Linked DNA regions of Caenorhabditis elegans. The protein of the gene in region 4 purifies or fractionates together with the protein of the main gene of each other region. This does not show direct contact. Each region holds a gene or a part of one and is shown on either strand. Other genes may lie near its edges. The genes, in order: rpl-15, snrp-200, eftu-2 and eef-1G.

Region 1 (5,821 bases), on a different chromosome or scaffold from region 4:
TCAGACAAACTTCGAGAAGAACTTCAACGATTCAATCCATTCAACATGTCAGAGATTATGCTCTGAACATTTTTTTTTGTTATTTTTTTTCTATTATAACACGGGTTCTGGTCTTCCTCATTGAATTTTCCGTGTTTCATTGACAATCGCCGCCAAGGCGTGGGAAAGTCGTGTACTCCACACGGACAAATACATTTAGTTTTACAACTAAAATCGAGCCGCGGCGCGCCGTAAATCTACCCCAGATATGGCCGAGCCAAAATGGCCTAGTTCGGTAAACTCTTCCATTTCAATTTATGAGGGAAGCCAGAAATCCGTGTTATAAGAGATATATTCCCCCCACTAGTTCGAGTTTCATTCCCCCATCCATGCGGTTTCTTGTCTGTGGTTCCCGATTGAGAACGATAACTTTGAAGATTTATTTCTCATTAAAAAAAAATAAATAAATACTTGTTTCTTTTTTATTCTTCTATATATTTTTCATACTTTGACATGAAAAAAAAATTCAAAAATGATCATGTTATTTTCCAAATCCACCACGGCACGTCGGACTGTCTTCTTGCTTCTGTCCGTCCCACTTGCTGGTTGGAATAGCGTCGATTCGAAGCGCGTGGACAGTCGTGGCAAGCTCCTTGGCAAGACACGTGTTCACAAGACGATGTCTCTGAAAATCAACATTTTTTTGGGTTAATACGGGCTTCCAAATTTTGTGAAAACCATAGAAATTCGTTTCAAAAATTGTGCCCGTAAATCGACACAAGAGCTACAGTGGGGTCATTTAAACAATTACTGTAGTTTTCGCTACGAGATATTTTGCACGTCAACAGAATTTTTTGTTCTTATAATAACCATAATTTGGGTCTCGTTAGGTATTGGGGCCGCAAACACGAAACTTCCAAATTTTTGAACTATTTTCGCCAATTTTAGCGAAAATTTGCGATTTTTGCTCCAAAAATGCGGTATCATCCGGCGGCCTCGAAACTAAATTTTCTGTTACATTGGAAAAAGAGTGCGTCTTTAAAAAAATACAGTAACTTCAAAATTTTATTTCTACCGAGTTTTTATCGATTTTTCATAGTTTTTCTCGCGAATTTATGTGTTTTTATTGTTATGGGTTTTTTTAAATAAATAAATAATTTTTATCGAAAAATTATGAAAAGTCGATGAAAATTGCGCAGAAACGAGTCCTTGAAATTACAGTACTCTTTAAAGGCGCACACCCGTTTGTATTTAACAAAACTTGTCGTGTCGAGACCAGATATCATACTTTTAGCCACGAAATCGACAAATCCATGTTTTTAAGAAGGAATAAATTGGCGATAATGTTGAAAAAGCAAATGTTTTAGCTGAAAAATTGGTAAAGCCTATGAAAAAGTGCCGTTCCACGGCCTTTAGCGAGTTTTTCCATGTGTTCGACTAATCCATGTATCGATCTTTTTCCACCAACCTCGATGACACGTTTCCCCTCGAACTCATCACTGACAACTTGCACTCGGAAGTGCTTCTCGGCTCCTTTTGGAACGTTGTGCAGGTGGCTCTCGCATTCCACTTCGAGATGTTTTGGCTAGAATTCAACAGTTTCCTTCCGACATATTTAGAGATCAGTTTACCTGGAACGCGGCGAACAGCTTCTCCTTGAGAAGACGTGCTACTGGGCCTTCGCTCAATGTGCTCATTACTCTTTTCATGAAGACTGTGATTTTAAAAACTATTTCTTTTTTAATGTGAAAAATACAAAGATAAAACAATTAGGTTTGATAACAACCATTTCATTTTCGGAACAAGCCCAAAACAAAATAAAATAACAAGATTTATCGCTTGCGGTGGAAAACTTTGGTGTTCTTTCTCTTCCAGTTCTTGGCTTGGGATCCTCCGCGGGTAGCAGAGAAACGCCATCCCTTTCCGAGTCCACGAGACTTGCGTCCAGCAGAGGTGAGTCCTCTTTGCTCACGGTGCTTGTGAACTGGCTTGGTGATCCATTGGGTGTCTGGGTTACGACGGATAGCCTTGTGGAATGGATCGATCAGGACAACCTCGTAGAACTTGTAGGTGGAGTCCTCAGCAACCCAGTAGGAGTTGAGAACACGGAGGGATCCAAGACGACGTCCAGCGCGGCCCTGAAATACAACGAATTAACTTTGAAAAGTAAATGCTAATATCTGAAAATTTTGTTTAAATTGTCACAATGTCATGAATCCAATACACCACAAGGTGTTCGGGGATTACACAATGTTTTTCTATAGCCATCAGTGGATTAAGTCAGTACTATTAAAAACAGTCTGCTTTGCCCAGACACTGAGGCAACAATTTCATCTAATCATTTAATTCGTAGTAATCACCTCAGCAACGGCTTGCTTAGACTTGGCGTTCTTGAGCTCGTTAACTCCATGGGTCTTTGGCTTTCCGTAGGTTTGTCCCTTGCAGACTGGACGCTTTCTGTTTCCTCTGCGGACACGGACGCGGTAGACAACGAATCCTGAAAAATGAAATTTAATCTCAATAAATTGTATCAATGATATGAAACTGGAAAGTTCTATATAACTCAACAGGGATTACTCAATGAATTTTATATAGCCATCAATGGATTAGGTTGCTCAAGCGGGTGCAGGGCACCTTGCCCAGACATTGTGGCAAGTAGCTTTTAAAATTTTATTCAAATCTTTACAATCTTACCTTGCTTGGCACGGTATCCGAGACGGCGAGCCTTCTCTGGTCTGGTTGGGCGTGGGACACGGTGGACGGCGCTCAACTGTCTGTAGTGCCAGGTACGAATACGGAGCAAGTAGCGAAGAGCATCTGACTGCTTCTTGCGCCAGATTTCCTGCATATACTTGTATGCACCCATGTTTTCTGAAAGAAAAAAGGTTAGAATAACGAGATTGAGGGGTTGAATAAATAAAATTGTTGAAAAAGAAAAGTGAATCGAAGAATGGAACATAGTTTTTTAAAATTCTGGCTGACAGAAAATCTATTTCATCAAAGTCCCAACATTTTGGGCGGAATTCTGCGTAAAAATAACAAACTACTGATTTTTTGCCAGTAAAAATTAAAATTTTAAATTAATTTAACAAAATTCATGAAAAACCTAGGAAAACTTCACTAAAATTGCTGAAAAATCCAAAAAAATCGTTTAGGCCAACAAAACTCGTGTGTGAAATGAGAAGACGCTCTCATACACTTCGCATACACTCGAAACACGCTCCACAATGCAAACACCGTAGTCCGGCGGCTGGCCGTGTGCCAAGCCTCGTCCGCCGTAAATCGACACGAATTGTTTGTGATTTTTAATATGTTTTTCCTTGTTTTACAGGTTTTTTCAGGTTTTTATCTGGTTTTTTCGTATTTTTAATTGATAAAACATTATATTTAATCGAAAAATATCTATAAAATCAGTAATATTCGGTTTCTATCGAATAAAAAAGTCATTTTTCTCCCTAAAATGTGGTTTTTATTTGTAGAACTTTGGAAATCCGGCATAAAGCTATAATAAATGGTTTATCCCTTATTTTAGGCTACGTTATTTTCGCTAGACATTCTAAAACATCTAGAACTTTCTAAATTTCATAACTCCTCGTTGCATCATTTTTTCCCACGTGACCTCGGTTGTTTTCATCACAAACAAACACAATTTCCACTTTTCTCGTCGTATTCTCATCATTTCAGTCAGAAAATGTTGTCTCGTCTCACGATGACCGTTCCAAAAGTGGCGACTTTCACCTCGGGAGTCCGATTTTTCGCCAACACCGCCGCAAAATCAGCTCGTTATGGAGGAGGGCAGTCCGGATTCGGTTCTCGAGTAAATCAAGTGAGTTTTTCAATAATTTTTGACGAGAAAACGATTTAAAGAGTTCAGGGATTCGGAGTTCGCACTGGACCAACGCTGAAGGAGCGACTTTTGGGACCAACTACTGGAAAACGTGAGGATTTTACTGGAATTTTCAATTATAAAAAGGCCTACATATATTTCCAGCATTCGTCTACGGAACCTATGCTCTCGCTGGAGCATCCGTCTTCGGAGTTGGAGCTCTCATGTACTACGGACTCGTCTCAAAAGAGCAGAGTATTCTCCAAAAAAGCGCAATTTGGCCATCATACGTCCGTGAAAGAATCAGCACAACGTATGCTTATTTGGCTGGAAGTCTCGCTTTAACTGCTGTCAGCGGAGTTGCAGCTTCCAGAAGCGCGGCGATTATGAGATTGACCGCTGGCGGAGGAATGATGGTAAGGGACGAAATATCCCCGAAGAAAAGCGAAATTCGTTGTGAAATCCCTTGAAAATCCCGGAAAATGGGCTTCGAAGTCGCTGGAAATGCCCGATTTCGTCAGAAAACCCGGGTTTTTGTGTGCTTACCGACTGAAAATTAACCAAAAAATCGATTAAAAAAGGCTTCAAAGCCGCTGGAAATGCCTGATTTTAACGTTTTCCCGTTTTTTTTTTTTGGGCTTATTCAGTTAGAAAACCGCATTTTTGAGTGAAAATTGCAAAAAAAGTTCGAAATTTCGTCATCTCATGACTGAAAATTGCGAGTTTCAGGACCAAAAAATCAATTTTTGGCTAATAAAAAGCTTGGAAAACGAGAAATTTTTTGCATTTTTATCTACTCATGACTGAGAAATGGAATTTTCAGGTCCAAAAAATCAATTTTTTAACGAAAAATTGAAATTTGTCGTAATAATCTCTTATTCTGTTGTTTTTGCAGCGATTTTACTGGTTTTTAGGTTCAAATTTGTGTGCATATCAATTAAAAACCCGGAAAATTAATGATTTTAACTAGTTTTATCCACTTTTCGAACAATTTGAACTTCCATAAAAGGTTGGAGGTCATTTTTAAAAATTTTAAAGCAATAAAAACTTTAAAAATTATCGGAAATTTAATAAAAATCAATTTTTTCAGTCACTCTTCGGAACAATGGCTGCAATGATCGCTTCGGGAATGCTCGCCAGATCAATTGACTACGAGAGCACCGTCGCCAAGCATCTCGCCTGGGCTCTTCACTGTGGTACGGCGGATTTTCAACGGAGAACTTGAAAAAAAAAATCAATTTTGTGATTTTTACAAACTAAAAAGGCCGAACTTCGATGAAAAATTGGTCGAATTCTGGCTAAAATCTCTGATTTTGTCAACTTTTCCGTGTTGCAGCGGGTGGAAATTTACTGTTGTAGGATTATTCTACTGTTTTGCATAAGTTTTGGCTCGGCTAGCTTTTAATGTACCTAAATCAACCAAATATATTGTAAGAAAAACTATATTTATATGCAAAAAGGACCGAAAAAACCGAATAAAATCAATTTCCAATAGCTGCGAGACGGAAAAATTGACAAAATTTGAGATTTTTTAAGCCGAAATTGGAAACTTTCCGAAATTTTGATATAATTATATATATAAAATTTCATCCAATTTCCTCTATATTCAGGTGTTCTCGGAGCCGTCTTCGCGCCGCTGTGCTTCATGGCCGGCCCAGTTCTCACTCGTGCGGCTTGGTACACGGCCGGAATCGTTGGAGGCCTCTCGGCCACCGCCATCACCGCTCCATCGGAGAAGTTTTTGATGATGTCCGGACCACTTGCCATGGGATTTGGCGTTGTTTTTGTCGCCAACATTGGAGCATTCTTCTTGCCACCTGGATCAGCTCTGGGAGCCAGTACGTAGTGAAATTTGGAGAAAAATGCGAAAATTCGGCTGAAAATATCGAATTTTGCTGCAAAATGTGCAAAAAAAATGGCATTTATGCCAGAAAAAACGTTTTTCTGATGAATTTCGCACTGAAAATGGCTGAAATCTGAAGTTTTCAGCTAAAATTCTCGTCGCTTTCGCGATTT
Region 2 (7,565 bases), on a different chromosome or scaffold from region 4:
CACCGTCTCCGCGCCGATCCATCGATCCGACACGATCCGAACGTAGTAGAGTGGTGGCATCGGATCGAACATCGGCACAATCATCTTCACAACATGCTCATCCGAGCAGAACTTTTGCTTGAGCAGGAAGAACTCGTGATGAAGGATCTTCTCGCCATCGGTATCCTCAATGAAGATCCAGAAACCTTCGGCGCTTCCGTGCACCTTCTCATCCCACTTGAAGTCTGGCGTAATTGTCAGCTCGATTCTCATGGTGGTTCTTGTGATCGGCTGGATGAGAGTAGTCATCTCAAGCTTCGGAAACTGGCGAATGAACTTGAAGAGCGGCTTTCCCATCTTCGGCATCTTAATCAAATCTCCCAGCTGGTGTTGATCCAAGTCATACAGTCTATCGAACGAGTAGTTCTTCTTGTCAATCGATCGAACCACCTCGCTCGGGATCTTCTTGAACTGATGCAGCGGGTTCAACGATCCCCATTGCCGTTGTGTAACCATCTTGCAAAGAGTGAGCACCTTCTGAGCGAGCCCAGCCCAACCTCTCCATAGCACAATCTCGAAAAGAGCTCTGAAGAGTCGTCCGGCACTCTGAGCCACGAAGACCATATCCGCCTGAAGCGCGAATCCTTCGAGCTTCAACTGTGAGATATAGGCTTGAAGAAGGACATTCGTCTTCGCCGACGCTTCATCCAGGTTCTCCTTGATCGGAATCGGCGCGTGCTCTGCCATCTTCTGAAGTTCCAGCTTCTCCTCATCGCGAACCGACAGCAACTTGAATTCGGAGCTCATCGAGAAAATTCTGAAGAGATCGATATCCGAGCACGTCTCGACCAGCAGCTTGTTGTAGGTTTGCATCGACTCGTATGTGCAGTAGAAGTGAGAAGCGATGCGCCCGAGCTCGGTGGCCTGAATGATTCCGCTTCGCTTGTCATATTTGATGAGTCCGGCCTTGTCCAGAAGCACGCAAGCTGTGTGGATGAGATCGGCACGACGTTGTTCTAGAAGAGGATCGGCGCGCTGAAAATTGGAGAATTTTAGGGTTTTCTATGAAAAATGCTAAAATTTCAAGCTTAACCTACCGCTTGCTCATGTGTAATTCCATAAAGCGTCGGATTCTTCAACATTCTCACAAAAAGGAAAGTGTAACCCAACCAATTCGTCGCCTCCGACACACTACTGACAGTGCCGAGCACAACCTCAGCGTTGAGCATATCAGTGAGCCGTGAGACCATCTGCGACTCGACAGGAAGCTGTTGATTCATCAGCGAGAGATAATACTGGAGCTCCGAGTGATTTGTGATGAGAATTCCCTCTCCGCGATCATCGTACTGTGGACGTCCGGCTCTTCCGAGCATTTGCATGATGTCGAGTGCTCCGAGCTCTGTCCAACGTCCTTTTTCCGGGTTATAGATCTGAGTTCCCTTGATGATTACAGTATGAGCCGGCAGATTGACTCCCCAAGCGAGAGTTGCAGTCGAAAAGAGCACCTGAAAAATAATATTTTGAAGATTTGAAATATTTTCGGGAAATTTTCGATTCCCCTACCTGAATATGCCGATCAGCGAACAAATCCTCGACGAGTGTACGATCAACTCTGTTCATTCCAGCGTGATGAATAGCGAATCCATACGGCAAGAGGTCCTTCAAATCCAAATTCTTCGCCTGCTCGGCCTCGGTTCTCAGGATTTCTGTGCTCGCTGAGCCCTCACGCATGAACGCCGACAGCGTGTCCTTCTCGAGGCACGCGTCACGAATCGCTTTCGCGGTTTTCGCAGTTTCCTTTCGGGAATGCACAAAAACGAGGACTTGGCTCTTTCCGGCGTGCTCCATAATCTTGTCGTACACCACTTCGTTCATCGCCTGGAACCTCTTCAAAGCCTTCTTCTCAGTAACTCCAATATATTGTTGCTCGAGGGGAACTGGACGATAGCTGTTATCAAAGAAGTGCAAATGCTCAGGCTTCACTCGCAAGAACGTCGCCACATCTTGATAATTCGGAAGAGTTGCTGAAAGTCCGACCAGTCGGCACTCATCGTGATTCTGCTCCATTTGACGAATCGTTCTGACGACGATCGACTCCAACACCGGTCCACGATCATCGTGAAGCAGATGGATCTCATCAATGATCAACAGCCGAACCATCTGGTTATAGGCTCTCTCTCCGCCTTTTCGCGTCACCACATCATACTTTTCCGGCGTACAAACGATCACTTGTGTCGCCATGAACTGCTCTTTGCTCATTTGAGCATCTCCGGTCATTTCGCCGACAGTGATTCCGAATGGAGCAAGACGTTTTGAGAAGCTTCCAACCATCTCTTGAACCAGTGACTTCATCGGAGCAATGTAGACAATCTTGAACTCATCGAGCTTCACACTTCCATCCTCTGCCAAGTGGTTTCCGATTTCTTGGAGCATCGTGAGCAGCGCCACGTTCGTCTTTCCAGCTCCAGTTGGAGCACAGAGCAAGAGATGCTCTTTGGATCGAAGAGCTGAATCACAGAGTCGGGATTGGATCCTGTTCAGCGACTTGTAGCCGTCGAAAGCCGGTTGGGCCCATTTCGGGAGCTCTGAGACACTGACGAGCTTCTCTCCTTCAGCAAATGGTCGTGGTTTGAGGGCTGGTACGTGGATTTCTTCGTAGGACTTTTTCTGGCGGCGGTAGGATCCGTCGGGGAGCTCGCATCTGCAAAATTGAGAATTTTAGGGTTTTTTGGGAATGTGGACTTTTAAAGTGCATAATGAATCAAATTTCCTTAATTTTCTAATGGAAAATCGTACTTTTAAAATAAAATTGTATTTACCTTTTATTGCTCATCAAATGAGATCCTTGACTGAACGTGAGATCGTTTAGATCCAACATCTTGCGGCCCGCCTGCCACTGTCCCGCACTGATGGCTTCATTTGCTGCTGTGGCGGCCTTCTTCGACTTCTCCGCGTCTCGTTTCGACTTTTCCACCTGCACAACAGATCCCTCATCAGTCTCCTGAAGAAGTGCAAGAATCGGATGAAGCTCTGGACGAGATCGCATATCATCTTCGATTTGGAGACGCTCCTTCTCGTTCGCCTGACGCAAAAGTGTACAGTAGAGGATCATAAGACGATTCTGGCGAAGGCACTTGATGAACTCGAACTGATCGAAGCCTAACAGCAGGACAAGCTGATTCTCGGCGTCACGATCGTCGGCGGCGTTCTTGAGAATTCCGATGACTTCCGTTTGCTTCTGTTGGGCGATCAGAGGATCTTTGAAGTACTTGGCGAGCGATCTTTGGATCCAATGAGCGTCGATGTCACGTGGATGAAGAATTCCTCGTGCTTTTTGCTCATCTTCCGTCAAATGACCATCTCCTTTGAGTGTTGCCGTGTAATCTGTATCCACACCTTCTTCCTCTTCACTCTCCTCCTCACTATCACCTTTGATCTCATTAACCATCCCACCGTCATCTTCTTCCTCATCCGAGTCGAACTGCACATTTACACCCTCATTCTCGTAGATGTCTCCATCGCCTTCAGGCTTATTCTCCTCTTCGATCGAAAAATCGCTGATCTTCTTCGATAAGTTGATGAGAACTGCGATACGATCGTCGGTGAGCGGTCCCAGAAGAGCTTCCACTTCTTTCTTCTTCTCTGAAAAAAAAATATAAATTTTATTGAAAATCTTCGATTTTCACCTCACCTTTATCTCGGAATTTGTCGTTTTTCAGCGTGAGAAGCACCTCGTCAGCGGCTCCGCACAGAACCTCGCGTGGAACATCGCCAAGTGCGTCCAAAATGAAAGACAAAATCACTTCATAAGTCTGCTTCGTCTCCTGGGTTCTGGGCTTGTAGGCTCCCATGAGCTCATTATTGTCGACAAGGACATTCCGGCCGAACTGTTGTGCTTTCTCGTCGTCCTTCTTCTTTCTCTTCTTCTTCTGATCCTGCACCGGCGCTTTTCCCTTGATCGCCCGGTCACCCATCTTCATTTTGCGCATCTCCTTATCCGTGATCGGCAGCACCTCGCCAGTCGGCTCCTCTCTGCCACGCCGATCCGTCAGATTGTAGTCGACCGACAGAACCAAGTTGGAGTTCTGCCGGTACTCATACTGCTGGATTCGGGCTAGCTCGTCGGCCATTGTAGTTTGTAGTCAACTCGGGATAGTCGAATATCCTGCAAAAATCGTGGGATTAAGGTTAAAAAAATCAAAACAAGAAATAAAAATTGAGAGAAAATAGATAAAATCGGCTGGCTGAAAACCAATTCGAATTGAATAATAAATGGAAAATAAAATAAACAAAATAAATATTATTTTACAGAGTAAGTACATCGGGAATTTGCGAAAAAAAAAATTACGGGGAAAAAAATTACAGAGAAATATGTTCAAATTTGGAATTAAATGGAAATCGGAAACATTTTCCTGAGACGAGAGCACTAAAGGACTAAAGCTAAGCGTAAAGCTCGTGAATTAAGTAGTGGGGAATGTGTATACAAAAGCTCATGGGGAATCAGAGGAGAATCTTGGAGACTTCGGGGAGATCCGGAGATCATTGGGCCTTCTGAGCAGCCTCAACACGGAGCTTCACATCGTGAGCAACGACCATCTCGGCGGCAGTGTACAGATGGACGACGGAGATGGCGGACTTGACGAAGGCAATCGGGAAGGCGATGAGTGGGAAGATCGACATGAAGTGGAAGTTGAAGATCAGTGGTCCTGAAAATTAGAGGAATTAATAAATTATAGCAAAAATAAATCAAATATTTACCAGCCCAGAACGCGCGAATGTAGAGCAAAATGTAGAAAGCCTCATTTCCGCCGCACATGAATCCGAGGAACAATCGATCCGTGTAGTAGAGGTTCAGAAGCCAATTCGAAGACTGCTTGTGGCTCGTGGCACCGGAGAGATCAGTGGCGTGAAGGTGAAGCCAGTGAGATGCGATGTCGATTACGGCCGACAGTTGAAGCAGGAACAAGTGATCCGGGTAGAACTTGCAGAGCGCCATCACCAAGGCCAGCAGGGCGCAGCTGAAAATATGAGAATTTTACCGAATCCAATTTTTTTCTCGAATTTTCCAGCATATTTGAGAAATTTTAACGTACCGATCGGTGAGCTGATCGAGCATTGCTCCAAATCGGCTCGATTGATTGTAGGTCCGTGCCGCCCATCCGTCAAACGCGTCGAGTCCGGCGCTGAGTGCATAGCTGAAATTATGAGAAATTTTAATTACGAAAATCTAATTTTCAGGACTTTTCTTCTGAAAAACCTTGTCAGATGGCATTGTAACTCTTCAATTATGGGGGAAAATTGAAAAGAAACCTGGTCACCTTGATTTCTTTACCATGCATCGCAAAAATACTCGACATTTCAGTGAAAAAGAGATGAAAAGTAGTAGTAAACATGGATATTAGCTAATTTTTGATGCAAAAATCGATTTCCAGCTCGCCAAAACTCACCAGAACATTGCACACCATGGCGCTGACGACATGTAGTACATGGCCAAAATGGCGAGTACTATGCGTCCATAACCGATGAGATTCGGGTAGAATAGCCACACATTGTTGTTGTTCTCGGCGGCTGTCGGTTCCATTTTAAGCTGAAAATATTGTTTTTGAATAAATGAGAACGAGAAATCGATTGAAAACACGGGAAAACGAAAAAAAGCGATAAAAAATGCCTTGACAACGGTCCATCTGCTCCAAAGCAAGACATTTTCGAAAATGGGAAGAGAGCGGAGACGCAGATGGTTGGAGATGAGAGAAGAGCTAGAAATTGTTTATTCTCGCTTCATTTGGCTAGCTAATAAGATGGAAAGCTTTTAAGGCAAAAATGTAGGAGTTGGAAGCGTAAATGAGGAGAATTAATGGGAAAAATTAAGAGAACTGGGATTTTTTTTCGAGAATCAGTTTGCATATGGCCGAAAAACTTGTTTTTGCAGCAAAATCAGCTAAATATTCAGCATAGGAACACGCTTCAATAAGAAAATATCAAAAACCTCTCAATAAGTCCACAGAATCGTCCGATTACTAGAATTCCAGCGAAATAGTTAACTATTGCTCTTCCCAGCGATGCAATGGTCCTTGTCACACAATTTATACTTTAAAAACGAATAAATCTCACAATTTAGAACATTTTTGAGCTAAATTATTCAACAAACTGCCGGAAAACACTAAAAATCCAATAGAAAAACCTCAAAAAATGAATTTCGAAAGTCCCGCCAATTGTCCGAGAGAAGTACACGAGAGGCAAACACTCGTGCGCAACGGGATATCGGCAGTGGGAAAATGCATGCGCCTTTAAAAAATTAATCTATTTCGTGAGGAATTAACTCAAAACAAGCTGAAATTGGTTGATAAAAAGCAGAAATGTGATAGCAAATCATGAAAAATCGAAGAAAAAAAAAATTTCAATTAAAATTTCGACAAATTTAACGAGAAAACTTTTACGAAGTGAATAATTACCGGAATTCCGCCCGGAAAAATCAAAAATTTGAAGTTTTAAACTCATTAGGTGGCTCCAGATGAGCTAAATGGCCTAAATATGAACGCAAGGAACGAATACAGCAAATTGAAAATAGACAAGAAACTGGGGCGATCAACGACAAAATGGCTGAAAAAGCGTTAAAATTGGTGAAAATTTCAACAAAAAATCCCAAAAAGCGGCACGTCGAACGGAAAATTATTCAAAAATGATGACAAAAACAAGATAATTCTCGAAAAAAAAAATCAAAAATTGGCGCCTAATTTTTTTGCGCGCGCTCACAAGCCATTATTAATTTAGGTCAAATTTTCCTGGCTACTGTAGTTCACAAAATACGCAGTATGAACTCAATGCGTTATGTTTTACGCGCATAGTTTTTTGTTTTTTTTGTTTAACTTAAATTATATTTGATTAATTAATTAACACCCATTTAAAATACTCATATTTGCCCAATGTGCAGAAATATCACAAAAAAAAAAGAGAAAAATCTGTGAAAAACCAGTTGAACGTTTTAAAAATCAGTACTTTTAGTTTCAGTAATTTCCCCCATATCCACTGTTGTTTAAAAAAAAATTATAAACATCGAATTTATTAATAATCTGTACAATCAAGTTTTATATTAACTATTATTTGAAAAGTCTGCAGTCCGCGCTGTGCAGCAAGGGTGTCAATTCCCGTGTCCCGTTTGTCCCGTTGTCCCGTTTTTGGGGTGTTTTCACGAGAACGGGAATTCCCGTTGTCCCGTTTTTGAAATTTTCACGGGAACGGGACATTTTCCCTCATTTTTTGGCTTTTTAAATATCTGTTTAATATTGAAAAAATCGATAAAAATGTTTATAATGCAGTTTGCCGTCCATTTTTCTTTTCGGCATAACGGCATTTTCGGCATATGCCTTGAATTTTGAAATCGGCATTTCGGCATATGCCGCGCTCTAAAAACCGGCATTATGCCGGCATTCGGCATTCGGCATTTCGGCATTTTGAACTATTGTTTTCCAGTTACAAAAAAATCAACAAGATTCAAATGTTTTCAATCAAACTTCCATGTTCTCTATATCATTACCAATATCTAAAAAATAGTATTCGTCTGATTTTGGTATGTGACGTAGCACTAC
Region 3 (8,413 bases), on a different chromosome or scaffold from region 4:
CGATCAACTGTCTTGATGGACTCAATTGGATTCAAGCACTCGGTTTGCATGTCTGGTATCTTCGTGCATGGACTGGTCTAGAAGAATCTTACGATGCTTATCAGAAAGATGTCAATGCTGGCCGTGCCGCTTCTAATCGTGGAGATCTGCCCGGAGAACTCATCAAATTGGCATGTGAATCACAGCACTCAGTGGAAGTTGTACTTGACTGTGCAGCTGGAGAAAATCCCAACGATTATTTCCTTCAATGGCACGTATGGAGCTTGCTCTATTCGGTTGGATACCGTACAATGTCAAAGACTTCGGAAACAAGACTTCACAGAAACTATTCATCTCAATTGGAAGCATCAAGTCTCTCAAAATATGCATTGTTTGTTTTGCAGCACATTGATGATGATGAAGAGTGAGTTGAATTTTAGAATCTTTCAATTTATAAATATATTTATCCAGAAGATCAACAGCAGTTCGTTCCCTCCTCGACCGTATTGCTCGTTTCACCGACAATGATATGTTTGATTCTATTTCCGAACAGTTCGATATTCCTTCGGAATGGATTGCTGATGCTCAATTCTCAATTGCAAAGTCAGTCGATGATTCTACCCAACTTTTCGAATTGGCTGTGGCTGCAAAGAACTATCTGGAAATTTGTCGCTTATTTGTGGATGATATTGCACCAACTGCAGTTGTAGCTGGAGATCATGACGCTCTCAAAGCAGCATGCGCGATGGTTCGTCCTTTCGAAAATCAGATTCCCGAGTGGGGTGCGACTGGAATGGTCTACACTGATTATTGCCGATTGATCAATTTGATCGAAAATGATGCGGAAGAAGAACTCTTACAGGACGTGCTTGAAAGTCTGGAAACTCGTCTACATGCTCCTACAATCAGCAAGAACAGTCTTCAAAAGTAAGCTATTGGGACATAAGTTTTTTTTAAAACTATTTATATAATTTCAGGCTCTCTCTTCAAACAATTGGACGTGTTTTGTTCGAGTACCGTGCTGATAAGAATACACTTCCAGAGTGGACAAAGCTTCTCGGACATCGGCAAATGTTTAAGATCTTCCGTGATCGTTCGTCTTGGGGAATCGAAAGATTCACAATTGAATTTGACTAGACTAGCCACTTTTTAATTTATTCATTTTTCACCTGATTCTAATTTTATTTTTTTTATTTACATTTTCCTGCCCTCTCCGTCTGTCTTCCTCGTATATCATCATTTCCCGAATCGTCTTTTTATTACTATGAATATGAACTTTTTGTAGGATGTTATTACTGTTGTGTTCTATTCACATGAGAAAACTAGTACAGAAATTTAGAAATCAGCAAAACGATAAATTGAGTACTCGAATTTAATTTAAAATTCAATTTCCGACCACGCGATGATGTTAATCTAGTACATCTTGATAAAAGTTGCTAAATAAATGGAAAGTTTTCTTGAATAATTCAGTCTGGCGGATTTAGCCAGTAGGAATGATCGTTTCTTAATTGGAGTGGTTCGCTTCGTTTTACGAGGTAGAGCAATTCGGGAGGCCCCACGAAAAGGGGAGCAGAACGAAAAGGGGATCTGCAAAAAGGGGATCTGCGAAAAGGGGAGATACGAAAAGGGGAGCAACGAAAAGGGGATCTGGCACTGTGCCAAACGCTATTTTCCTCGAAGAAAACGATACAACGATGCTCCGATGTTACGCGTCGCGTGTTGTTAAGCGTATCTTCTAGAAGAAAATTTCAAAAATCAACGTGCGCTGCGTGAGAAAAATTGCGTTTTGTGCGTTTGGCACAGTGCCAGCTCCCCTTTTCGTTGCTCCCCTTTTCGCAGATCCCCTTTTTGCAGATCCCCTTTTCGTTCTGCTCCCCTTTTCGTGGGGCCTCCAATTCGGTTATAGCTTATGCTTAGACTTAAAATTAAGCGTAGGCTTATGTTGATCTTCAGTTTTTTTTTTTTCAAAAAAGTTGTCCAAGAGTAATACCTTCAACGGACATTCAGCTTGTTTGACGAAACTAAGAGAATTCAATTTTGGTCCCTGCTCTGAATATCATTTGATAGATAGATAAACAAGAATTTTCATTTTACTATTGTGATCAAACAACTCAATGAAACGGGAAAGAACACTGAAAGATAAAAAGTGTGAAACAATGAGAAAATAAGTTAGGAAATCGCAATTTAGAATCCAGTATAATCTTGCTGCTTTGCAAGTTCGAGAAGCATCGGATCATCGAAGAACTTGTTAACGGAGACATCTTCAGACAAACCCTTGCGTCTTCTGGTCTTGATCATGAACTCTCTGGCGAGATGTGGAGTTGGCTGGACGTCGAGAGTCTTGATAACAATGGATTTATCGAGTGGATCTCCTGGTACGAGTTGCCAATGATGGAAAGCAGACATACAGAATGCTTGTCCCTGTGTGTGAATTCGAAGATCAGTTTCGAATCCGAACGAGTCCATTACTGGAATGTACGCCTGAAAATCATAATTTTAGAATATCATAAAACTATTTTAATGTGTGTTCTCTTTTAACATTATATTTAAACTCACGCTGATAGTGTACATAGGTGATCCTGGCATTGGTGCATCAGTGGTGACGTGACCACGTCGTTTAGCTAACACTGTATATACAGCAGCTACACAATCAGCTGGTGCAACAACTTCCACTGTATAGTATGGCTCCATTAATCTTGGCGTGGCCATAAGGAATGCAGAATAGGCACATCGGCGTGCAGTTGGGATCATCTGACCTCCACCTCGATAAAGTGGTTCTGTGGCGATTGCGGCATCGAGAAGTTTGAACTTCACTTGACGAATTGGTTCCTCACACAATGGGCCTTCTCTGGTTGCCCATTGGAATCCTTGAACAAGAGATTCTCTGACAGTTGATAGCAAGTGTTTGTCAACTTCCGATGGCAATGTGTCATCTAGAAGAATGTTGGGTCCTGTAGTATCAGGGCCAAATGCCCAAATTGAACGAGCTGCCAAAAGATCCCAGTTGTACTTGGTCTGGAAGAACTCTCCAAGACGCCGTCTATTCCATCCGATTTGAACAACTTCATTTTCGATGTCCTCATCCAACTGTTTTTCTAGAGGTTCAGCCATCATTGTGATTTTATTTCTGAAAAAATTGATTAAAAATTATTGTTTTGAAAAAATTGAATGAAAACCCACTTTTTGTTGGGAGTCTCTGCAAAACATTTCAGCGTACTCGTTTCGATGACAGTCTCGTTGAATGTGACAACTGGATCAGCAACTTTGATATCAATCTCTGAGAACACCTTTCGCATGTCGTGCATCACACAGTCCATATAAAATTCTCCAGTTCCGAGCAACACGTGCTCTCCGGATTCTTCAACTCTAGTCGTCAGCAACGGATATGACTTGTTGACTTTTCTCAAGCCATCCAACATTTTCGGGAGTTCGGATGGATTAATCGGCTCTACGGCAAGTTTCACGCAACTGCGAGTGTTGAATTTGAGAGGACGGAAAATGTAGACATCTTCCTCGTATCCCAACTCAGCAATGGTTGCAGTTTTAACAATTGGCTGATCAATTCCTTCAATAAGTACCCAGCAACCTGCAGGAACACGAGAAACTTCAATCTGATAACTGGCAACACGCACAAATAGTCTTCCAACTGTCATTCTTCGGCAATCTTCTTCATCTTGAATACTGTAGTTCTCTCCAAGTACACGGACGTCTGTATTTGCTTCCAATGTTCCGCTCATAACACGTCCAAATACATGGAACTGAGTTGCATCATCTACGGGATAATTCTTTGTTGTATGAACCATCAATGGTCCTTCAGCATTACATTTCTGCATTTCTTGAGCCAATTGGGAATCAGCTGGTCCAAGATATGTCTGCTCGATTTTAGTTTTCGCATTTTCAAGTGGTGATTTGATATTTTGAACCACCAAATCAACAAATGCACTGAAATCTCCAAAGAAGCGTTTACAGATGAGAGCAATCAATGGACGGACATTCATTTTCTGTTCTTCTTTTGACAAACGAATTCCCAACTCAGCCATCACATCAGGAAGGCAAGTATCGACATCTCCGACGACTTGCGAAAAGATCTTGTACATTGGCTCGAGAATGAACTGCACAAATGTACGTGGAGCATCATGGGACGGCGACTTCTTTACGAATTTGCGAGTTTTCTTCTCGAAGTAAATATCTCCCCAGAGACGGCGAGCAAACTCCTTTGAGTTGAAGGAGTCACCTGGAAAATAAAAATCGTGCAAGACATTAATTTCGTAAGCTTCTTACCATGTTGTTTCGCATAGATATTCGAAAAAGACAATAGAGAAAAGCAGACATTGTATCGTCCCGATGAAAAAATAACGTTGCCGTTAAGTGGAGAGAGTACTGGAACGTCTTCTTCGGCAAAAGTGCTCAATATATTATTGACTTGATCAATGATAAGACGGAGTTTGAAGTAAGCATCTGCTGGTGGAAGCTTCAACTCAAGAAGCAAGCGGTCGATCTTCGAAATGCACAATGTTACTGCAAGCCTCTCTTGAATCGCGTGGCGAATTGCTCGTTCAGTGTTCATCATAACACCTTCATGAGCATCAACCATCACAACAACTCCATCAGCAAGACGGTATGAAGCAGTCATTTCGTCCGAAAAGTTCACGTGACCTAAAATAATATATTTTGTACGAATGAACCACTATAGTTTAGGTACCTGGAGTATCAATTATATTGAGCAAATAGCTTTTGCTTCGACTATCCTGAGCCACAATGCTCACTGGCTGAGATTTAATCGAGCATCCTCTCTGCTTCTCAATGAACAAGATATCAGTAAATCGAGCATCTGCGTCTTCAGCTCTGTAGAACTCTGGATGAGTTTGTTCCATAAGACAATCCAAGAAAGTCGTCTTTCCGTGATGAAGATGACCAGCGATTGCAACATTTCTCATGATATGAGGGCAGTCCATTAAATCAGCTAAATATTCTTTCTTGTAGACAGTTTCCGGGAGAAAACGCTCAGCGGCTTGAAACTTCTTCTTGGATACTGGTTTGACAATTGGTTCAGTGAGTGGCTGAGCGTCTTCCTCTTGGACCAAGGTTTCTACACCTTCCCCGTATACTTCGAGAGCTGTAGCATAGTACTTTTTATCTTCATGAAGAACAACTTGATTCTGGGGAATTTCTTCTGCGTCATCTTCTTCCATTCTGTCTGGTTCATCATCCTCATCCACATCGCTACGATCTTCATCATCACCATTGTCATCAATATCTCCGGCATCATCGTCAGAGTCTAGCTCTGGACCGATATAGTTACCAAACTCATCGTAGAGATCCGAATCCATCGCTCGAGACGTTCAGTTCTGAATAATTAATTCGGTTATGAAAGACTTTCAAAGTAAAAAAGAAGAAATATACAGAGAAGTGAGTATTTGCCTAAAACAAAGAGTCCCAATGAGAATATAGAGCAAATATAAGAGCCAAGATTCAAAAGCAAAAAATACAAATCAAGAAGTAACTATGAACACACATTTTGCGCTTGGAAATATGCTAAAATGTGGTTTAAGATATTTTTTCAGCTTAAGAATTCGTTTTCGAAAATCGCTCCCCGACGTTTGCAGTGGAGCGCAGTTGTGGTACTTTCTACAGTAATCCACATTTCCAGAACAGCTCAATTATTCTTGGAAAATCGGTCAATTCTTGCAAATGTTTTTACGAAAAATTGAAAAATAATTAAAATATCATTTTTCTACTCAAAAAAAACGACTTGCTCGAGCAAGTCGAGCAAGTCGCGCTCCAAATAAACCTTGTTCAAAGTTTTGCTCGTCATTTCTGGCAACAAATACGCAATTGCACCAACGGCGCTTAATTTGCCGCCAATCAAAAATTTCAAAGATTAAAATTATTTTTCTCGTATTCTGCAAATCTTCTGTATTCCTCAATGCCTACACCATTTCGAGATCTTCATAACAAAAGTAATGCTTCAGCGTCATCGTACGAGTAAGTTTTTTGGAAGGATTTTAAGATTGTAGGAACATTTTTTGCAGAACAGCATGGAGTTCCAGCTTCAGCAGTCGAAGATCAACTAATAATGATAGCAAATCCAACTTAAAAGAAATTGCAAGCAGTAAAATTCATATATGATGAGCTAATTCTAAAATTTCAGAAAGATGAGCCAATATCAAATCTCGACGAAAGCATTTCAATTCTAGAAAATAATATATCCATGATGTCAGTTAGCTCTCCAACACCAGCCTATAGAACGCCTGCAAGAGTCATTGCAAGAGAAGCTCCAATGACTCCTGGTGATAGATTACTTCAGAAAATTGAAAAAGAAGATGAGAGAGATATGCTTCGACAGTTATATCCGGAAATGTTTGATTCCAACCAGAAACCACGTCAGAAACCAAAAGAAGTCAAAAAAGCATTGGTAATGTTCATATTTGAAATCTGAATATTTTAAAATTCAAAAGTTCAGAAAGTGGAGTCATTGTCAGATTATGAGAATGATGACAAGGAAAATGTTCCTCCGTGTGGAAAACCTTCGAAGGAAAAAGAAGAAAAGAAACAACGAACAAAGAAAATAGTTATTTCATCCGATTCAGAAGATGATGGAAACTTTGAAAACTGTAAACGATGCTCCAAAAAATATTCCGTTTTAATTTTAATTTTTTTAGATCTCAAAACTCTCCGAGAAAAGCCAACGGAGCCAGCTAAACCAGAGAGAAAAATTCCAGTTAAAAAAGATTTTGTAGTTGATGATGATTATATAAGCGAAGAAAGTTCAGAAGAAGAATCTGAAGAAGAGGAAGAAGATGTCGACGATGAAGAATATCGAGAATCAAGTCCAGAAGTTGAAGCGAAGATTAGCTATTCTGATAGAAAACAGAAGAAGCGACCAACTGACGAAGAAGAATGGTTTCTTCTGTCATTGAGTGAGAAGTTCTCAGGACCAATGTAAGATAATTTTTGAGAAATCGAAAATCGAAAATGCTCATTTTCCAATATTTCAATTTCTCTAAATAACGTCAAATTGTGGCGAATTTCCTTTTTTTTTGAAAAAAAATCATGCTTTTTTATCATCAAGATTAACCAACTTAAATCGATTAAAAATGAATTTTTTGTTTTCTAAACATTTTTTCCCATTTCAGTTTTCCGGAAAAGCTAAAAAATTTCCTTTAACGATATAAGATTTTTAGATTTTAGATTTTTCTGAAAAAAAAATCGAACAAATTTTTAGGACACCCTTGCTCTCGATAATTTTCCTACAAGTTTTGCAGAATAAAAATTAATTTTATAAAAAATATAATATAGAGATTAGTTGCTTAAAAAATATTTTTCCAGACACGAAGATGCCAAGGTGTATATCAAGGAAACATCTCTACGTTATAAAAAGCATCGCGAATCCCTTCTCACACGTCTTCAAGACATCCTGGTTCGCCGAATCTTTTCAGCAATTCCATCGGAAAAGCTGAAAGTCATATGGAACGCACGCCTTCGAAAATCAGCTGGCCAATGCAGAAATCATTCAAATGGAAACAGCACTGTCGAAATGTCACCAGTAGTATGTACAACTGCTGAACGAGTACGAGATACACTGATCCATGAACTGTGTCATGCAGCAACATGGGTGGTCGACAGGCTTCATAAAGAAGGTCATGGCCCAGGATGGAAGAGATGGGGAGCTCGATGCTCTTCGGTGTTCAAGTCACTTCCATTTATTGAAAGATGTCATAGTTATGAGATTGAGGCAAAGTTCTTCTATGTTTGTGAGAAAGATGGATGTGATGTAGAGTAAGTTTTTTAATTTATCTAGATATATCTGATAATTCATTAAAAAATAATTTTCGAAAATAATACGTCCAAAAAATAATATAATTTAAAATTTACCTTATTTTTCGGGATTTTGAACTGTCACAAAAATTTATTAATAGTCACAGTCTTATCGACTAGAATTTATAGGAGAGTCTTATAGGGAAGCAAAACACCAGAACCGTCAATCTGATAAATTTCCAATTTCCAATACATAAAAATATAATTTTTCTCCAGAATAAAGCGTCAATCGAAATCTCTCGACACCTCACGAAAAGCGTGCGGAAGATGTTTTGGCAGATTCATTCTCTACCGTTATTGCCGCCGAACGAATACTCGAATCCGTATTGAAGATCCTAAAGCCAAGCCGGTTGGTCCAATTCTTTCCAATTCCTCAAAGCCATCTCCACCAGCTCCTCGTCGTATTGTCAGTGAGCATCCAGAAGGCTTCAAGGAATATTCTGAAGAACACTATTGGAAATACACTGCACAAGGACTAAAACATTCGGATGTGATGGGGAAATTACTAAAAGAATTCAAGGAGCTCAAACAATTATAAATTATTGCTATCATTTATCCGTGCCATGTGCCATTTATCAAAATTTAGTTTGAATTAATCTACGTCAGATTTCTGGAT
Region 4 (7,349 bases):
TAACGATAGCTCTTTGAGGAACATTTCATGTTCCATTTCAGTTCGATGGCTTTCAGGTTGACAGAATGGTACTTTGAATTCTACAGTAGTCGGTGCATTGATTCCATTTACAAGGGGAGATCGGGATCCGCGACAATAGATGTATCGAAATTCTTTCACTGTGAGACCAATCGGGAAAATTGCGTCCGAAGGTGCTCTCAGAGCAGAAGAGCCTTGGAAAATAGGAATCCACAGACCTGGAGCGGATAGAACATGTACAGTGTATGCTGAATCCATCACGGCAAGTTTTCCTTGATTTGAATAAGCGATCCAGTCTAATTGCTCTCCAGTCTCAATAGGCACATCAATTCGGGAAACTGCTCCAGTTGAACCATGATGTCTGTTTTCTCGATACCATGATTTTGGATTTAAAGTATATTCTACAACTTCGAATCTCCATTGAGGTGTCTTTTTCTGTTCATAAAATTCCGATCCACACACCGAAGCGATTGCAAGTCGGTCTTCAAAGCAAGCAGCTGTGAGAATTGGTGCGAAATGTGTGAATATTTGTCGTTGAATTCCTCCAATAGTGAAAACTCGAATGTTTCGTTTTTTCGTGAGCACAACGACTTGAGTATTTGAGCAAAGCACATCAATACACCCGTCTCCACGAGGAAGAACCATCGACCACCGCTGACTGTCGAATGCTTGAATTGGAATTACATGTAGAAGACTAGTTCCTTTCTTTTCTGTTTTAGCAGGTTCATCAGTTTCAAGATCTTCAATGTCGTCGTTTGCTTTGTCAAGTTCTTTCTCTTTTTTCCGGCTCTCAACACTTGCCAGTGCAACAACCTTCAACGAAATATCCGCGAGTTCGTAGTTGATTTCAAAGTTGTCAATATGAATATCACCGTGGATGCTTTTATTGTGAAACTCGATCTGAAAAAAAAACGCTTGTTGTGAAGCAAGCTTATACAACTTACATCTATCGTTGAAACTTTATTTGCCTCGTTAACGTAGCTGCGAATAATTCCGAATCGATTATACTTCAGAAACCTTTGTGTTGCGTCGAGATCCATTGGAGAGCTGTTAGATACAAATCGTTCAGGAATAAGAACTTTTCGGGGAGCAGGTGGATCAGAATAGACTTGCGGGAGAGGATCATTCAAATTTCTGTCCGAGCTCATCGGTCGCATTTCCTCAGGTTCACCGAGTTTAAAACCGAATTCTTCAAGCCCTCCAAGATCTTGGTTCCCATAATTGAATTGTCGTTTGATAGCTCCAAGATCGGAAGACACTAAAATTAAAACATCAAGAGAAATTATATTTACAATCCCTCACTTCGGGTATCTTCATCTTCTTCAATGGCTTCTTCATTGAATAAACTATCTTTTTTGAGTGAAGTTCTATTCAAAAGGATTGAGTCGTCATCATCACTATCAACTGCAACATCTTCAGTTTTGTTTGAAACAGGCTTCTCGTTAGATGAATCATCTTTGAAGACATTAAACAAACAGATTCCTCTCTAAAATATTGTTACTTGAAAGTGCTCGAAAAGGGAAAAACTCACATTTGAATCAGCGACAATCAATTTTTTTGGGGAGAATGGAGAAAAAACAATAGAAGTGATGATAGTGATACCAGGTGCATTTCTCACGAATTTTTCACAACACACAATATCTCTGGAAAAAATGTATTATTTATCAGTTCACACATTTACCTAAATTTACAATTCATCACTATTCCAAACAGCAATTTGATTATCCATGGTTGAGGAGGCAAGATACTTCCCACACGGCGAAAGCGCAGTAACCGAAAAATCCACAGAAGCATGATCTTTCAAACGGTATACACCAGATTCTTCCCACCCATTTCGACGGTACGATTTCACACATCCTTTTGAAGGAACAAACAGCCATTGACCATCCTTTGACCATGAGAGTTGAATACGAGGTCGTGAAACACTGAAAAACAGGACATTGTTTAAAACCGAAGTATAACATGAAACACTAACTCAATTGTTTCAAATCTTGGGAAAACCTTGGTCAGTGTGTGTTTAATCGAGAATGAATCAATGTCTATAATAGTCACATTGCCATCCACAGTAGAAACGGCCACAAATTCATTTTTTGGATCCAGTTTGACACAAAGAACTTCAGCTTCAAGACTTCTCGTTTTCAGCTCTGCATCTAAATCTTTCATATTCGTGCATTTAACCGCATAATCGCTAGATCCTCCAATAACATTTTCCCTGTTTGCGTCGACCGTTGTGACATCCATTTGGAATTCAAGAGGATCAATAATATCTCCTGCTTCGAAATTGCCCTTTTTCGCCCGTCCCACCATTTGCTGCTCGGATCCAACAATGAAATCCACCTTGCGGTAACCAAAACAGATGTTTTCTCCATACCAAGCAATAGATGATGTTGTCGCATCGGGAATCTCGATTATTTCAGGTTTTTCATCTTGCAGCAACACGTTCTTATTGATCTTGAGTACATTTCGTTCAGCATCACAAACGTAAATCTGAAAAAAACAGGTAAATATGTTTATAAATCGTTTTAAATCCTACATTTTCAGTATCTTCTCCTGAAGCATCAATGCAGATAGTTTGAAGGCCGATATTCTCCAAATTTTTAACGTTAGTAAAGCTCATCTGAAAACAATGGAATTACGAGTGAAATTATTTATTTTCATCAAAAATAAATAAAATGCGAGCAAATTTTAAACCTGATTCTTGGCGCCGAAATGCGGTAAAAAAGTGTAATGCAACCATGGACCAGTGAACTGCGTAGAACCCCTATGTTTTGCGTACTGGCATTCTGCCAGGGGCACATACGCAGACTTTTCAGTGTATTTTTCCTCTGAAGAACACCACTCTTTTCAAGCGCCTCTTCTTTGAGCGTCGCTTCACTAGATTCTCCGACTCGTTGGTGACATCATGACCGGAGTAAGTTTATAAAATTAATTTCATTAAATTTGCAGTGCTGTTAAGAATAGTTAACGTGATTTCCGTTCGTTGCATTGAAAAATGATTAGGCCAAACCTTGAAATGACGAAATTTAACCAATTATTGATTTTTATTTTGCAGAAACTGTATGGAAACAAGGACAACTTCAGAACCCAAAAGGTTTTGATTGCTGCCAAGCTCGCCAACAAGACTGTCACCCTCGCCGGAGATGCTGCTCCAGCTGACAAGTTCCCACTTGGAGTTGTACGTTTTAATTTATTTAGATGTCAGTATTTGACGATCTGTGAACTATCAATGTGCAGAATTTCAGACCCCAGCATTTGAAGGAGATGCTCTTCTCTTCGGAGCTGAGTCGATCGGACTTCACCTGACTGGAACCTCAGCTAACGCCGAGACTGTCCAATGGCTTCAATTCGCAGAAGGTTATCTTCTTCCAGCTGTTCTCGGATACGTTCTTCCATCTGTGTCTGCAGCCAACTTTGACAAGAAGACTGTTGAACAATACAAGAATGAACTCAACGGACAACTCCAAGTACTCGATCGTGTTCTTGTTAAAAAGACCTACTTGGTTGGAGAACGTCTTTCTCTTGCCGACGTTTCCGTTGCTCTTGATCTTCTCCCAGCTTTCCAAGTACACTATGACCCAGATTATATGTATACACTCCTAATTTTCAGTATGTTCTTGATGCCAACGCTAGAAAGTCCATCGTCAACGTCACCCGTTGGTTCAGAACCGTTGTTAACCAGCCAGCTGTTAAGGAGGTTCTTGGAGAAGTTTCCCTTGCCTCATCGGTTGCTCAATTCAACCGTAAGTTTCTTTTTTGTTAGTGTGAATTTGTTTTGTTCCACTGCGAAGTCAGCAGACTAGTCAATCGATTAGTAGGCGTTACAGTGGTGGAATATCAAGATTTATGTACACCGTCTTTGCTTGAAACAGTTTTTGTTTTTGCTTTGTTCGGAACGTTTTTCATGGGACTGAGAGTTGGAAATTTAGCACTGGTCGTTTACAGGGTTGTCCTGCAGTCAATTCTAAGTTACCTTAGTTTATGTCCCACACATTTAAAAAGAAATCTAATTTTATAAAAAAACTTCTGATTTTGTATTCCCAGTTTAAATTTTATTCTTATTTTACAGAAGCCAAGTTCACTGAGCTCAGCGCTAAAGTCGCCAAGTCTGCTCCAAAGGCCGAGAAGCCAAAGAAAGAGGCCAAGCCAGCTGCTGCGGCTGCCCAGCCAGAGGACGATGAACCAAAGGAGGAGAAGAGCAAGGATCCATTCCAAGATATGCCAAAGGGAACATTCGTTCTTGACAATTTCAAGAGATCTTATTCCAACGAAGACACCGCTACCAAGGCTATCCCACACTTCTGGGAGAACTTCGATGCTGACAACTGGTCCATCTGGAAGTGCGAGTACAAATACCCAGAAGATCTCACTCTCGCCTTCATGAGCTGTAACCTTATCAATGGAATGTACCAAAGACTGGAGAAGTTGAAGAAGAATGCTTTCGCCTCCATGATTCTTTTCGGAACCGACAACAATTCGACCATCTCAGGAATCTGGGTGTGGAAGGGTGACAAGCTCGCCTTCGAACTCAGCCCAGACTGGCAGGTAGGACCATTTCCTCGATTTTGAATGTCGAAGAGTAGTCATTTGTATACGTGATACACTTATACAGAGTTACACTTTTCGTATATAAGTGCTTCTTCTCGTTGGAGTTGTTTATTTAATGAGCAATTACCTCTAAACTGAAAGCAACAATTTTATGAATTCTCGATAGTTTTCACAATAATATATTTCAGGTTGATTACGAATCGTACACCTGGACAAAGCTTGACGCCAAGTCCGATGCCACCAAGAAGGAAGTCAACGAGTATCTTATGTGGGAGGGAGACTTCGGAGGAAAGAAGTTCAACCAAGGAAAGATTTTCAAGTAAACTGGAGTTTCCATACAACCCGGTGTATTTGCCATTTAATCCTGTTGTTTACTCTGAGTCGGAAAGAATAAATTGTTTTCTATTGTTTATAAAGGACCCGGTATCACTTCAATAAATTATATCTTCTTCAAGTTGAGATTGAATTTATTCGTCTATAAGTGTTCCTAAATAATTTTAGATTTAAAAATTAGCTCCTAAGCTTGTTTCTTCGTTTTCGGTCGTCGTATAGTCCTCGATGTGTCCTTCGAAATATTCTTGATTTGCGTGTTCCAAAAAGCAAGATTTGATGTCGTTGAAATATTGTACACATTGCAAATGGTTGATTGAGAGGCTATTGACATCACTATCTTGACTCTGTAAAAATCATTGCGTGTCAGTAAAATGTCTCTCAAACCTGATCGCAGAAAGAGTGACAGTGTATTGGAACTAATGATTTGGAGCAGCATTCCGTGTGGTTTGTTCCTCGTGCCGCACAAAAATGAATCTTTTGAATTGCAGTCACTGGGCACACTGATTGTTGAAGAAACACTGCACTGACTTCTTCTGATGAGTACGTAGAATATGAGCATAAATCTGTGCAAGATGATTCAACTTCGAGAAGTGAGCAGCAGGTGGCAAAGTGCTCATCCGGTGTCTGTTATTTAGATATTATTGAAATTAAAATTTCCAGGAACTTTTTTCATAAGTTAACTTTTCCATGATTATTAGGTAGACACGTAAAGGTCACGTGGAGTCAGAAAGTCCCATTTCGCTTTGATCTTCAAGAAATGCGGGAGAAGAGACGCAGACTTTTCAACCGATTTTGCATGGTTAAGTGTGTGCTGACGTCACATTTTTCTGGGAGAAAAAATCCCGCATGTTTTGTAGATCAAACCGCAATGAGACAGCCTGACACCACGTGAAAGGTGAGAATCCTCGCCGTTTGTTACGCGTATTGGTCTCGCCACGAGGAAAACGAATTACTGTAACTCCTTTCAATCGATTGACTAATTTTTTTAAGTAAATTTTTACAATAAATAAGTTTCTCCTAAACAAAATTGTGCAATATCGTTCAATAAATCGAGCCGAGCTACAGTAACTCGTTGTCCGCGTGTCGAGACCTATGCGCGTAAGATATGGAGGTTTCTAATCTTCAGACGTCTGTGTGATATCAATATCGCGGACGAACTGTACACGTAAAAACGTAAACACGTAAAAAACAAGTAACATGATTTTACGGGAACACAAAATTCTGGGAATGCGTATTGCGCAACATATTTGATGCACAAAATATCTCGTAGCGAAAACTACAGTAATTATTTAAAAGACTACTGTAGAGCTTGTGTTGATTTACGGGCTCGATGTTCAAAATGATTTTTTTCGTATGTATATCGTATATTGACAGCGATTTTCAACTTTCCTTCGTTTCTTCGTATGATTTTCTAATTTTTTGCTAAATTTTAATGTTCAATCAATAAATACCTAAATGATTTTTCGTCATTTTGAAAACGGAGCCCGTAAATCGACACAAGCGCTACAGTAGTCTTTTAAATAATTACTGTAACTTTCGCTACGAGATATTTTACGCGTCAAATATGTTGCGCAATACGCATTCTCAGAATTTATGTGTTTCCATAATACTGTCAAACTTTTTTTTTGAAAATACATGGTATACATACAGAAATCGGCTTCAAATCGGGAGGCCTTGATGATTCATCTTTAAATGTTTTTGTTCCAGCCGCTGTTCGGGCAACGCATCCACCTCTCATACACATAAAACCAATACCACACGGGCATCCGATTGGTTGAATCTGAAATTTTAATTATATGTTTTTGTCACTTACATGCTGCTGAAACGAAGAAGTGATCAGGTTTTGTTTGTTTTTTCAACCTTTACCTTTTTTTTGTTGCCAAAAAGTTTCATTATATATTTCTTTTATCTTTGTGCAGTGTGTTATTTAAAACACAATAAACTTCAATTTTCAAGCATAGTGTAAAGTTTGTTCAAAGTTGCATCATATTGTATAAGTTATGACAATCAATCGCTGCGAGACTCAGAAACCCGGTGATCTCTCACTTCTTTTCGCAGGTTTTGGTAATTTGCCAAATTAAAAAATTGCGGCTTTACATCTGTATTCATGTAACTTTGAATCAAATTTAAAACACATTTCGTCTTACTATTGGTGTTTGTAGACATAATCCAAAAAAGCAACTCGACCCACAACCGCCTCCAAATCCGCCTAAGCATCCCAAAGATATACACTGAAAGTAAGACTTTTGGAAGATTGATAAGAAATTTAATAGGTATACCTGACTAGAAAACATAACAAAAATACAGAGAAATGCAAAAATGTGTAAATTAATGTAGGATAATGTAGACATAACTATTACCCTCAAACGAAGAATGAATGAAGAAGGTATGTTTGAAGAAAGTTTAGTTTGAAAAACTTGAAACTAAAAAAAACCAGTTGTCATCTAGTACAT

What was found.
Region 1: the proteins of eef-1G (region 4) and rpl-15 fractionate together in Caenorhabditis elegans (co-fractionation; one large-scale study listed by BioGRID). This does not show direct contact.
Region 2: the proteins of eef-1G (region 4) and snrp-200 fractionate together in Caenorhabditis elegans (co-fractionation; one large-scale study listed by BioGRID). This does not show direct contact.
Region 3: the proteins of eef-1G (region 4) and eftu-2 fractionate together in Caenorhabditis elegans (co-fractionation; one large-scale study listed by BioGRID). This does not show direct contact.

The regions. Positions count from the first base shown.
Region 1 is NC_003282.8:651,727-657,547, forward strand, and holds rpl-15 (Large ribosomal subunit protein eL15), read right to left. Parts: upstream 2,851-5,821; 5' UTR 2,846-2,850; coding exon 2,674-2,845; intron 2,636-2,673; exon of another isoform or gene 2,503-2,635; intron 2,477-2,502; coding exon 2,340-2,476; intron 2,305-2,339; exon of another isoform or gene 2,176-2,304; intron 2,118-2,175; coding exon 1,812-2,117; 3' UTR 1,754-1,811; downstream 1-1,753. Other genes in the region: K11H12.9 (Protein kinase domain-containing protein), read left to right, coding at 5-66; Putative bolA-like protein K11H12.1, read right to left, coding at 521-664, 1,448-1,564, 1,611-1,676; K11H12.8 (Growth hormone-inducible transmembrane protein), read left to right, coding at 3,671-3,805, 3,854-3,917, 3,971-4,221, 4,896-5,001, 5,416-5,643.
Region 2 is NC_003280.10:12,732,767-12,740,331, forward strand, and holds the start of snrp-200 (U5 small nuclear ribonucleoprotein 200 kDa helicase), read right to left. Parts: upstream 4,145-7,565; 5' UTR 4,110-4,144; coding exon 3,671-4,109; intron 3,622-3,670; coding exon 2,799-3,621; intron 2,681-2,798; coding exon 1,543-2,680; intron 1,485-1,542; coding exon 1,077-1,484; intron 1,015-1,076; coding exon 1-1,014. Other genes in the region: pisy-1 (CDP-diacylglycerol--inositol 3-phosphatidyltransferase), read right to left, coding at 4,519-4,685, 4,738-4,997, 5,073-5,174, 5,427-5,560. UniProt on the Caenorhabditis elegans protein: Catalyzes the ATP-dependent unwinding of U4/U6 RNA duplices, an essential step in the assembly of a catalytically active spliceosome. Plays a role in pre-mRNA splicing.
Region 3 is NC_003281.10:6,006,476-6,014,888, reverse strand, and holds eftu-2 (Tr-type G domain-containing protein), read right to left. Parts: upstream 5,330-8,413; 5' UTR 5,310-5,329; coding exon 4,682-5,309; intron 4,636-4,681; coding exon 4,261-4,635; intron 4,214-4,260; coding exon 3,160-4,213; intron 3,107-3,159; coding exon 2,536-3,106; intron 2,461-2,535; coding exon 2,164-2,460; 3' UTR 2,049-2,163; downstream 1-2,048. Other genes in the region: npp-10 (Nuclear pore complex protein Nup98), read left to right, coding at 1-403, 451-906, 957-1,116; gcna-1 (Germ cell nuclear acidic-1 protein), read left to right, coding at 5,906-5,964, 6,012-6,084, 6,131-6,394, 6,443-6,593, 6,642-6,921, 7,309-7,758, 8,014-8,335.
Region 4 is NC_003283.11:10,962,905-10,970,253, forward strand, and holds eef-1G (putative elongation factor 1-gamma), read left to right. Parts: upstream 1-2,814; 5' UTR 2,815-2,920; coding exon 2,921-2,929; intron 2,930-3,070; coding exon 3,071-3,193; coding exon of another isoform or gene 3,194-3,215; intron 3,216-3,260; coding exon 3,261-3,581; intron 3,582-3,625; coding exon 3,626-3,758; intron 3,759-3,793; exon of another isoform or gene 3,794-4,011; intron 4,012-4,084; coding exon 4,085-4,560; intron 4,561-4,585; exon of another isoform or gene 4,586-4,712; intron 4,713-4,751; coding exon 4,752-4,886; 3' UTR 4,887-5,018; downstream 5,019-7,349. Other genes in the region: ctf-4 (WDHD1/CFT4 second beta-propeller domain-containing protein), read right to left, coding at 1-918, 963-1,276, 1,321-1,504, 1,550-1,661, 1,710-1,943, 1,994-2,505, 2,552-2,635; dbd-16 (DB domain-containing protein), read right to left, coding at 5,067-5,240, 5,281-5,520, 6,545-6,676, 7,044-7,127, 7,176-7,247. UniProt on the Caenorhabditis elegans protein: Probably plays a role in anchoring the complex to other cellular components.